2 linked regions of the Alligator mississippiensis genome follow. The protein of the gene in region 1 purifies or fractionates together with the protein of each later gene. This does not show direct contact. Links are inferred from orthologs where the notes say so. Each region holds a gene or a part of one and is shown in the gene's direction. Other genes may lie near its edges.

Evidence for each region. Proteins that work in one complex are often made in the same cells at the same time.
Region 2: the proteins of SIN3A (region 1) and HDAC4 purify together in Homo sapiens (affinity purification with western blotting; 3 studies listed by BioGRID and IntAct, with this or other methods). This does not show direct contact. The link is inferred for Alligator mississippiensis from reciprocal best matches to the Homo sapiens genes SIN3A and HDAC4.

What each region holds. Positions count from the first base shown.
Region 1 is NC_081834.1:27,956,863-27,960,602, reverse strand, and holds the start of SIN3A (paired amphipathic helix protein Sin3a), read left to right. Parts: upstream 1-1,491; 5' UTR 1,492-1,510; intron 1,511-3,091; coding exon of another isoform or gene 3,092-3,740. Other genes in the region: basic proline-rich protein-like, read right to left, coding at 3,092-3,740. UniProt on the Homo sapiens protein: Acts as a transcriptional repressor. Corepressor for REST. Interacts with MXI1 to repress MYC responsive genes and antagonize MYC oncogenic activities. Also interacts with MXD1-MAX heterodimers to repress transcription by tethering SIN3A to DNA.
Region 2 is NC_081827.1:182,303,044-182,306,783, forward strand, and holds the start of HDAC4 (histone deacetylase 4), read left to right. Parts: upstream 1-1,195; 5' UTR 1,196-1,368; intron 1,369-1,956; exon of another isoform or gene 1,957-2,035; intron 2,036-3,740. UniProt on the Homo sapiens protein: Responsible for the deacetylation of lysine residues on the N-terminal part of the core histones (H2A, H2B, H3 and H4).

The sequences.
Region 1 (3,740 bases):
GCTCCTGAGTTCAGAGCTGTGCGCTGTGCTGAAATACTCCATCTTGTAACCTTGATTTTTAAACTGAGTAATATTCAAAACACTTTGTACTGAGCAGCAGAAGCAGGGAAAAGTGAAGGGAATAAAGGACTGGCCACAGAGATAGTGAGCAAATGGTCAAATTTACACCGTAAACTGGTGTACTAGGGACAGAGGCATGTCAGTTGGGGGCTTGTACCTAAGAAATGCTGAGCCACCACTGGAGGCAGCAAGTTCACTGGCTGACAAAGGTACTCAGCCTCTTCTTACAGGATCATGCCCTAAACCAGCTACAGATCCACCCCTACTGTAACAGTATCATGGACTAGACTATTAGAACATACTAGTGTAACCAACGGCATATTAGTTGTGACCCTGCACTGCCAGGCTTTGTGGATTTCCTTATCCTGGGCCTGAAGTAGGTGGACAGATACACTGTTGCTAACATTGGTGTAGAAAATCAAGGTGCCTTTCCTTTATGGTAGGCCAGGGGTCAGCAACCTATGGCCTGTGAGCTGGATCCAGCCCACAGACATGACACTTCAGAGACCTTTGGCAGCAGGAGGCTTGGACTGCAGGCCCATGGCATAGCGGGGACAAGGAGTGGTGGGAGACAGGTCCTAGTGTCGGCTCAGCTGCCTTTGACCCAGAGTGGGTTGTTCTGGCCCATGGGTGGAAGAAGTTGCTTGCCCCTGCAAAAGGTGCATTGCAGGGAGCCACCTGAAACCCCCCAAATGGACTTTAAGGTCTGCAGGACAGCCCTTGGCCAGTAAGCCAGCACATGGCTTTGACTGCACCCGTGGTGTGGATAAGGAAGGCTGAAGATATCATCTACCTGCATCCCACCATCCTTTAATATCCAGAGCACGTGAAATAAGTCTAGCTTTATTTCCTTCCCTCTCCACTGGAAATGCACAGCAGGCGGCCGACTCTGCATTCAAGCCCGAAGGGTCCCCAATACTGCCGGAGCATTTACACTCCACCTCAGATCCCCAACATCTGCTGGCGCCAAAGCCACAGCCCTGCTCTCCTCACCCACCCACGAGCGCAGCCCCAGGAGCCAGGACACCCCGGCTCTAGCTCCTCTCTGCCCCAGCTCTCAGGCCGCTCCCTGGAAGCCCCGTGCCTCAAGTTTCCCTGGCGGGAGATGGGGGAGAAACACTCCTACCTACCCGGCGTGTTGGAAAGTTTAATGGGGCGTGCTCCTCGAGCGCCCCGGAGCCGGCACCTCCGAGCAGGCGGCGCCCGGCTCCCCAGCCTGGGGAGAGGCAGCCGGAGCGGCCGCGGCTCCGCGCTCGCAAATGGCCGCTCGGCACCGAGCTCCGCCTGCACCAGGGCCGGGGCTGCGGGCGGCGGGCGCGGGGGGAGCCCGGCCCCGGCCGCAGTCGGCCCGCCCCGGCGGGCGGTGCTGCGCTGACGGGCTGGCGGCGGAGGCCAATCCCGGCGCGGGGGCGGTGCCGCCCATTCAGGACTCCCGGCCGCGGCGCTGAGGGTATGTAACAGCTGCTTCCCATTGAGGCTGGAAAATATCGGGCGTTTTCGGGGGAGGGGGCGGGCCGGGGCAGGGGGGGCCGCGGGCAGCGCCGTCCGTCCGGGGCCCGGGCCCGAGGGGGACCGCGCGCTCGGCTCAGCTAAGGACGGGAAGGGAGAGATTAAAAGCAGGAAAAGGGCTTTGCTTTCCCCTCCCGCGCGTGGGGCCGGGGGCGCCCGGAGGCGGGGGCTGTCCCGAGGGGTCGGGGCCGCCGGGCGGTGCGTGCGCGGGGCGTTCCCCCTTGCTTTTTGGCTCGGAATAAACAAAGCGGCGTCGCGCTTCGGGGCCGCGGGTCCAGGCGCTTGTTTGGCTGGTTTGTGCGCGGGGCTTCGCGGGCGCTGCCGGGGGCGGGGGTCTGAGCGCGGCCGCACACGCGGGGCGGCAGCGGAGCCCGGGCCGCGCGGGGCCCCCCGGGAAACTTGTTGGGCGCGAGTGGGTCTGCGGCCGGGCGGGGAGGCGCGGGCTGCAGCTGCCCCCACACCGGGGGGGAATCCCCGGGCCCGACCGCCGCGCGCCCCAGTTGCAGGCGCCCCCGGGCCGGGCAGCAGCCGCGCGGCGCTCTCCCAGCTGATCCGCTCGCAAACATGGAGCTGCCTCTCCCACCCCGCCTCCTCCGTGCTGGTGGGAGGGAGATGCCCGCCCCCGAGCGGAGCTCCCCCCCCCCTTCTCCCACAATCCCGCGCCCCTGCCCGCGCTCGCAGGGAGGCGGAGGCCGGGGCTGGGCTGCGTGTGGCGCCTGCCCGCGGGCACGGAGCCGTGCGAGCCGAGCTCGCCGCCGTAGCGGGTGCCTTCCCCGCCGGACTGCGGGCGGGGCGGGCCAGGCTATGCTGTGCAGGGCACGAGCGCAGCCGGGGCGGGGCAAGCGACAGATCCCGCCCCCCGCGTGCAGCGGCCGCAGCCCCCGAGCCCCGCGCGGGCTCCCGCCGCCGCGGACAAGCTGCACGGGCACCCCTGCCCCGCCGGCTTGGGCGGGATTCGCCCCGCTCCTACTGGCCGGAGGGTTTCGCCCCGCCCCCCCACTATTGGGTGGACTCCCAGCGTGGCCTGGCCCGGCCCATCACAAGGCCCGGCCGCCTCTCGGCTTGCGCTTCCCGGCCGAATGTGGCAAGGCTCCGTCCGGAAGGGGGAGGAGAGACGGGGCCTATCGTTGGCGCTGATTGGCTGGAGCGGAAGCGTCGGCCCGCCTCCCTGCGAAAGGGGTTGGGGTAAAGCTGGTGTCTTCCCCCCCGCGCGTGTAATGGATCCGTCCCACGTGGGCGCCGCTATCCCGGAAGTGAAGCTGCCCGGGAAGGGAGGGGCGGGTTCAGGGACAAAAGGCTGCGCCCGGCAGCTCCCCCGCGCCCTGCCCTGCTCCGGGGCTGTGCGTTCGCGCCCGTCGGGGGCCGGCGGCAGTGGCGCGGGCTAGGCGCAGAGACCCGAGCAGCTGTTGTTCCGGGCCCGGCCCGGCCCGGCCGTCCTCCGCGGGGGGCACCCCAGGGAGCCCCGGGCACTAAACTCCGCCTTTTCACGGCATCCCGCCAGGCCCGCGCCGCGGTCACGCACCGGCCCCTCCTGCGCGTCCCCACTGCCCTGCCTCTGGCCCGCCTCCGTCACGTGGCGGCGATTCCTCAGCGCGGCTCCGGCTGCTGGGCTCGGGACCAGCACGTGGATCCGGGGCTTCCCCTTCCCCGGCGCGGCCCGCTTGGCGCCTGCCCGCCAGCTGAGCCCGAAGAGGCGGGGCGGGGCGGGGCGGGGCGGGGCGGGGCCGAGCAGTAAATCGCCCCCGTCTTTTCCCCCCCCCCCCTTTTTTGGCCCGGGGAGAAGCGGCTGAGGCGGGACCGCGGCTTCCCCAGACCGACTGCGGGGAGCGGGCGCGCGGCGCCACGCCTCGCCCTGGGCGCTGGGTGCCGAGGGGAGGCGGGGCGCTCCCGTCCTGTGCAGCTGCTCGGGCGAGAAGCGACCTGCCGCCGCCGTAGTTGCACCGGCGGGGGTGGGCGAGGAGTGCAGCGAAGTCCTTGGCGCTGGAAACTTCAGCAACAGGCGGCGTCCGGGAGCGCGAGCGGGGAAGGCGGGAGCGCTCCCCGCGCTGTGCAGCGGGCTGGGAGCCGCAGCTCCCGGCGGAGGACCGGCCGCTGCTAAAAATAGCCCCCGTCGGCTCCGCGCGCGGCGGCTTGTTTTCCCTTTATTGGCCCGCGCCGGAGGCTGCGGGGGC
Region 2 (3,740 bases), on another chromosome or scaffold:
GTAAAGCGAGCTCCAAGGCCTCACAGTGGTGGAGAAAAGCTGGAAACTGAAAGGTGCCAAACCTCACAGTCAACGGCATCATTGAGCATGTGCTGGTTAGAAACAGCACTCTCATGAATGGAGGCATGTGGGACTCCTTAGCTTTGCAATAAGGTTTTGCAGCCTGGGCTGCGCCATCCCTGGAAGTTGATAAAAGGTTGTCAAACCTGCCACACACACATGGTGAGGGAGGGCAGGCTAGGGGTGTGTCTGGGAGGGGTACAGCGGTGCTGTCATGCTGCATGTTGGTTCCTGCTCCACCCAGAGTTTAAAGCCAACTGTCTGGCAGCAGCATTGGCACCTCAGGCAGCAGCTAGGTTGTCAAGCAAATTCACAGCTTATTACAATTTACCTCATCCCGTCTAAACCTGTTCCTAGGTGTTAACAACCCTCTCTCTTCATTAATGGTCTTAATGTTCCCCCAGTCAAGCTGGCCTTTCTTCAGCCACTCTGCCGCCCCAGTCTCTGCCTCTGGCAACTAGGCTGCTCTTTCCCAGCCCTGCGGGTGGTTTGTAACCGACTCCTACGAAGTCCTGTTGGTTTCTGCTTCCACCTGAAACGGGAAACACTGGCCCAGGCCCCTGGCCTACGAGCAGAGCATCTAGTTTCTTTTTATTTGTGGGTAAAGGAAGACCTCTGATGAAGATGGCAGTACAGCACTGGAACAGACACCCCCGAGAGGCGGCGGGCTCTCCATCCTTGGAGGTTTTGAAGCCCTGGCTACACAATGCTGTGGCCAGGACAATCTAGCTGGGGCTGGCTCTGCTCTGAGCAGGAGACAGGCCAGATGTGACCTCCCGTGGTCCCTTCTGGTTCTCATTTTCTATCATTCGAGAGACTGTGCGCCACGTTACACTCGACAGCGCCTTTCACCACCTGTGCCCTTCGCAAAATCCTGGACATGCCCAAGGGGCGCACCATGGGCCACAGCCCCAATGCACCAGGGAAGCCCTGCGGGGGCTCAGCTCAAGCAGCACCCAGGGGCGAAGGCCAGGGAAGCGCTGAGGGACCCTGCCGCCGGGGCGGGTTGGGGGCCTAGTCGAGATGGTGGGGCGGGGACCTGGGCTCAGCGCCAGCCCCTCCCCCGCCGCCCGCACTCCCCGAGGGAGATGGGGCGGGAGCTGCTGCTATAAATAGCCCGCGCGCCGCGATTGGCTGAGGGAAAAAATGGTCGGAGCACGTGACTTTCCAGCTAAAAATTCCAAGATGGCGGATCCCGTCATGGGCTGAGTCCGTTGGTGGCGCGCGCGCCGCTGTGTCAGCGCCAGCCCCCGCCACTGCCCTCCCCGTGACCCGCTCCAGCTCCCGGGGCCCGTGCCCGCCGTCCAGGTCAGTGCCTGCCGCTCGCGCCCTGCCCGCCGCGCCTTGCGCCCGCCTTTGCCCGCAGGCAGCCGCTGCGCGGCCCCTTTAAGACTTCGGGTGTTTCTGTCCTCCGGCTTTGACTTGTAGGAAGGCCGATCCCGGCCGCCGGGCCCTTAAAGGGATCGGTCCCACCCGGCTGTTTTTTTCTCTCTGCTCCGACCGTGAAACGCCGAGGGTCCGGAGGGGGGGCGGGGCGGGGCGGGGCGGGGCCGCGGAGGGGGAAAGGAGAGAGTGATGGACGGACAGCGCATCCAATCCGAGCCATGCGTGTTGCAGTGGCGGGTGCATTTAAGCCGCTCGAAGCTTCGAGCTGGACTCTGATTGCCCGCGACTGGAAACAGGGCGCGGCGGCCGTGGCTGGCCAGTCAGGGCTGGAGGAGCGGGGCCGGGGGTGGGCCTTGGCGAGACAGACGCCTGGCTTGCCCAGTCGGCGCGGAGCGGCGTGGTCCGCCCCCTCGCGGCTTAGCGTGGCCGGGGTTTTTGTGAATGAGGCGGGTGGGGCGGGGGCTGCCGCAAGTCCCGCCCCCCTCTCCCCGGCGCTGCGGCTCCTCCCCCCTCCCCCCCGGAGAGCAGCGCCGCTGCCGCCTCGGTGCTAAGAGCGGCGGGAGCGGGCGCGGGAGGGATGCGGGCAGCGGTGAGTGCGGCCGAGCCGGGCGGGGCCGCGATCCCTGCGGGTGCGGAGCAGCCCTGGGTGATGGGAGGACGGGCGGGCGCGCTTGTCCGTGTGTCTGGCTGCCGCGGGGATGCGCGGGCGGGCGGGCTGGCTGGGTAGGGTCTTGGTCCCCCCCGCTCCGGGCCCGCTCCTTCCCGCCCGCCGGGGCCGGAGCCCGCCCAGTTGTTTACAGTCACGGTCAAAAAGCCTCCGGGTTCAAACCCCATCGGGCTTGTCCCAGGACCCCGCTTCCCCGCAGGGCCGGGCAGGTGGGCTCGCACGAGGTGCCGAAGAGCCTGGAGGGTTTTGGCAGCGGAACTTGTTTTTTCTGCCTCTTCCCGCCGCCGCCTGCAGCAGCTCGTGAAGTGGGTTTGGGGGAGAGGATGCCCGGGGCTACTGGGCATGGTTTAAAAGCGATTTCTAAGGCTGCTGTCACTTGGGGCCCCTGGTTCTTCTTATTTTTAAATGGTTTTTTGCCGGGTGTCAAAGTCACAAAGTCTGTGACTTGGCAAATGCAGGGTTGGGGGGGAGCTTTTTTTTGTTTTTTTTTTGGGTTCTTTTGCTATAGGGGAAAAATATTTGGTGTATTTCATTTCCTCATTGCAAATCCCACTGCCAAGCCAGCCGGGCAGCGTTTTGCTTGTCCACTTGGATGACAAGTGGACAAGCAAATAGCCGCTCTTTGATTGGCAAGCGCCGGCGCAGTTGGCTCAGCCAATAGAGGAAAAAAAACAAAGCTTGTGTTTCAGGTACTGCGTTTTCAAAATGTAGTTGGACTGTTGCAGTGCTGCTGATGTAAAGTGCATAAGAACAGGATTAGGACCCGCTTAGGTTAATGTTTGTAAGCACAGGCTCTTATGGCCTGTGCCTGCCCCCCCCCCCCCCCCCCCCCCCCCGAAATTGCTGTGCAATCAGAAGGGAATTTTACTCTTAACTCTGAAGTGTTGGATTTGTGCAACAATTTTCATGTCATAGTTTTAAAAAAATTAATTATAATGTATTTGGAGCAGAGAGAAGGGAGGTGTTGCTGAGCAGTTGTGTGTGGGTTTATGCTGCAGGAATTCATCAGGAAAGATACTGTGCAACACTTGAGCTTCTTAAATGTTATCTTCGCATTTTTGTGGCATGGCAAATGCAGCATGACATCTTAAGCTTTTTCACTTTTTTACATGCCAGTTTACTTGACATTATACCAGGCTACCTTGTACCATTTGGAGGGTGGTAAACCTGATCCATTTTTTTTTCTTTAAAACCTTTGTAATAGCATTATGTAGCTCATGTACATGCCTGCGTGACACTGAAGGGTTCTTGTTGTTTTAGCAGTTTGTCAATAGATTTGCTGTGACAGCTTTAATGTCAAGGTTTGCAGAAATTAGGCTTGTCACTTAAATTGTTGACTTACTGGATTTAATGGTACATTTATTACCATCAAGTTACTTAGTGGTTTAAGGTGAGGTGAGCTTTAGTAAATTCTGCAGATGATTGGGTTGTCTGTTGAGGTGAATGCCATCTGTATGCCTGGATTCAGGGAACACATTGTCATGCTGGGGGCCACAGACACCAGTTCCTTTCTATGAATTCATCTCCAATATGGCTATCTGCATGGTTTGAGTTCGTTTGGAGACCTAGCAGTATTCCAGTCCCTGCAGTCTCTGCACTCCAGTGTGAGATCCCAGTGACATGCCGA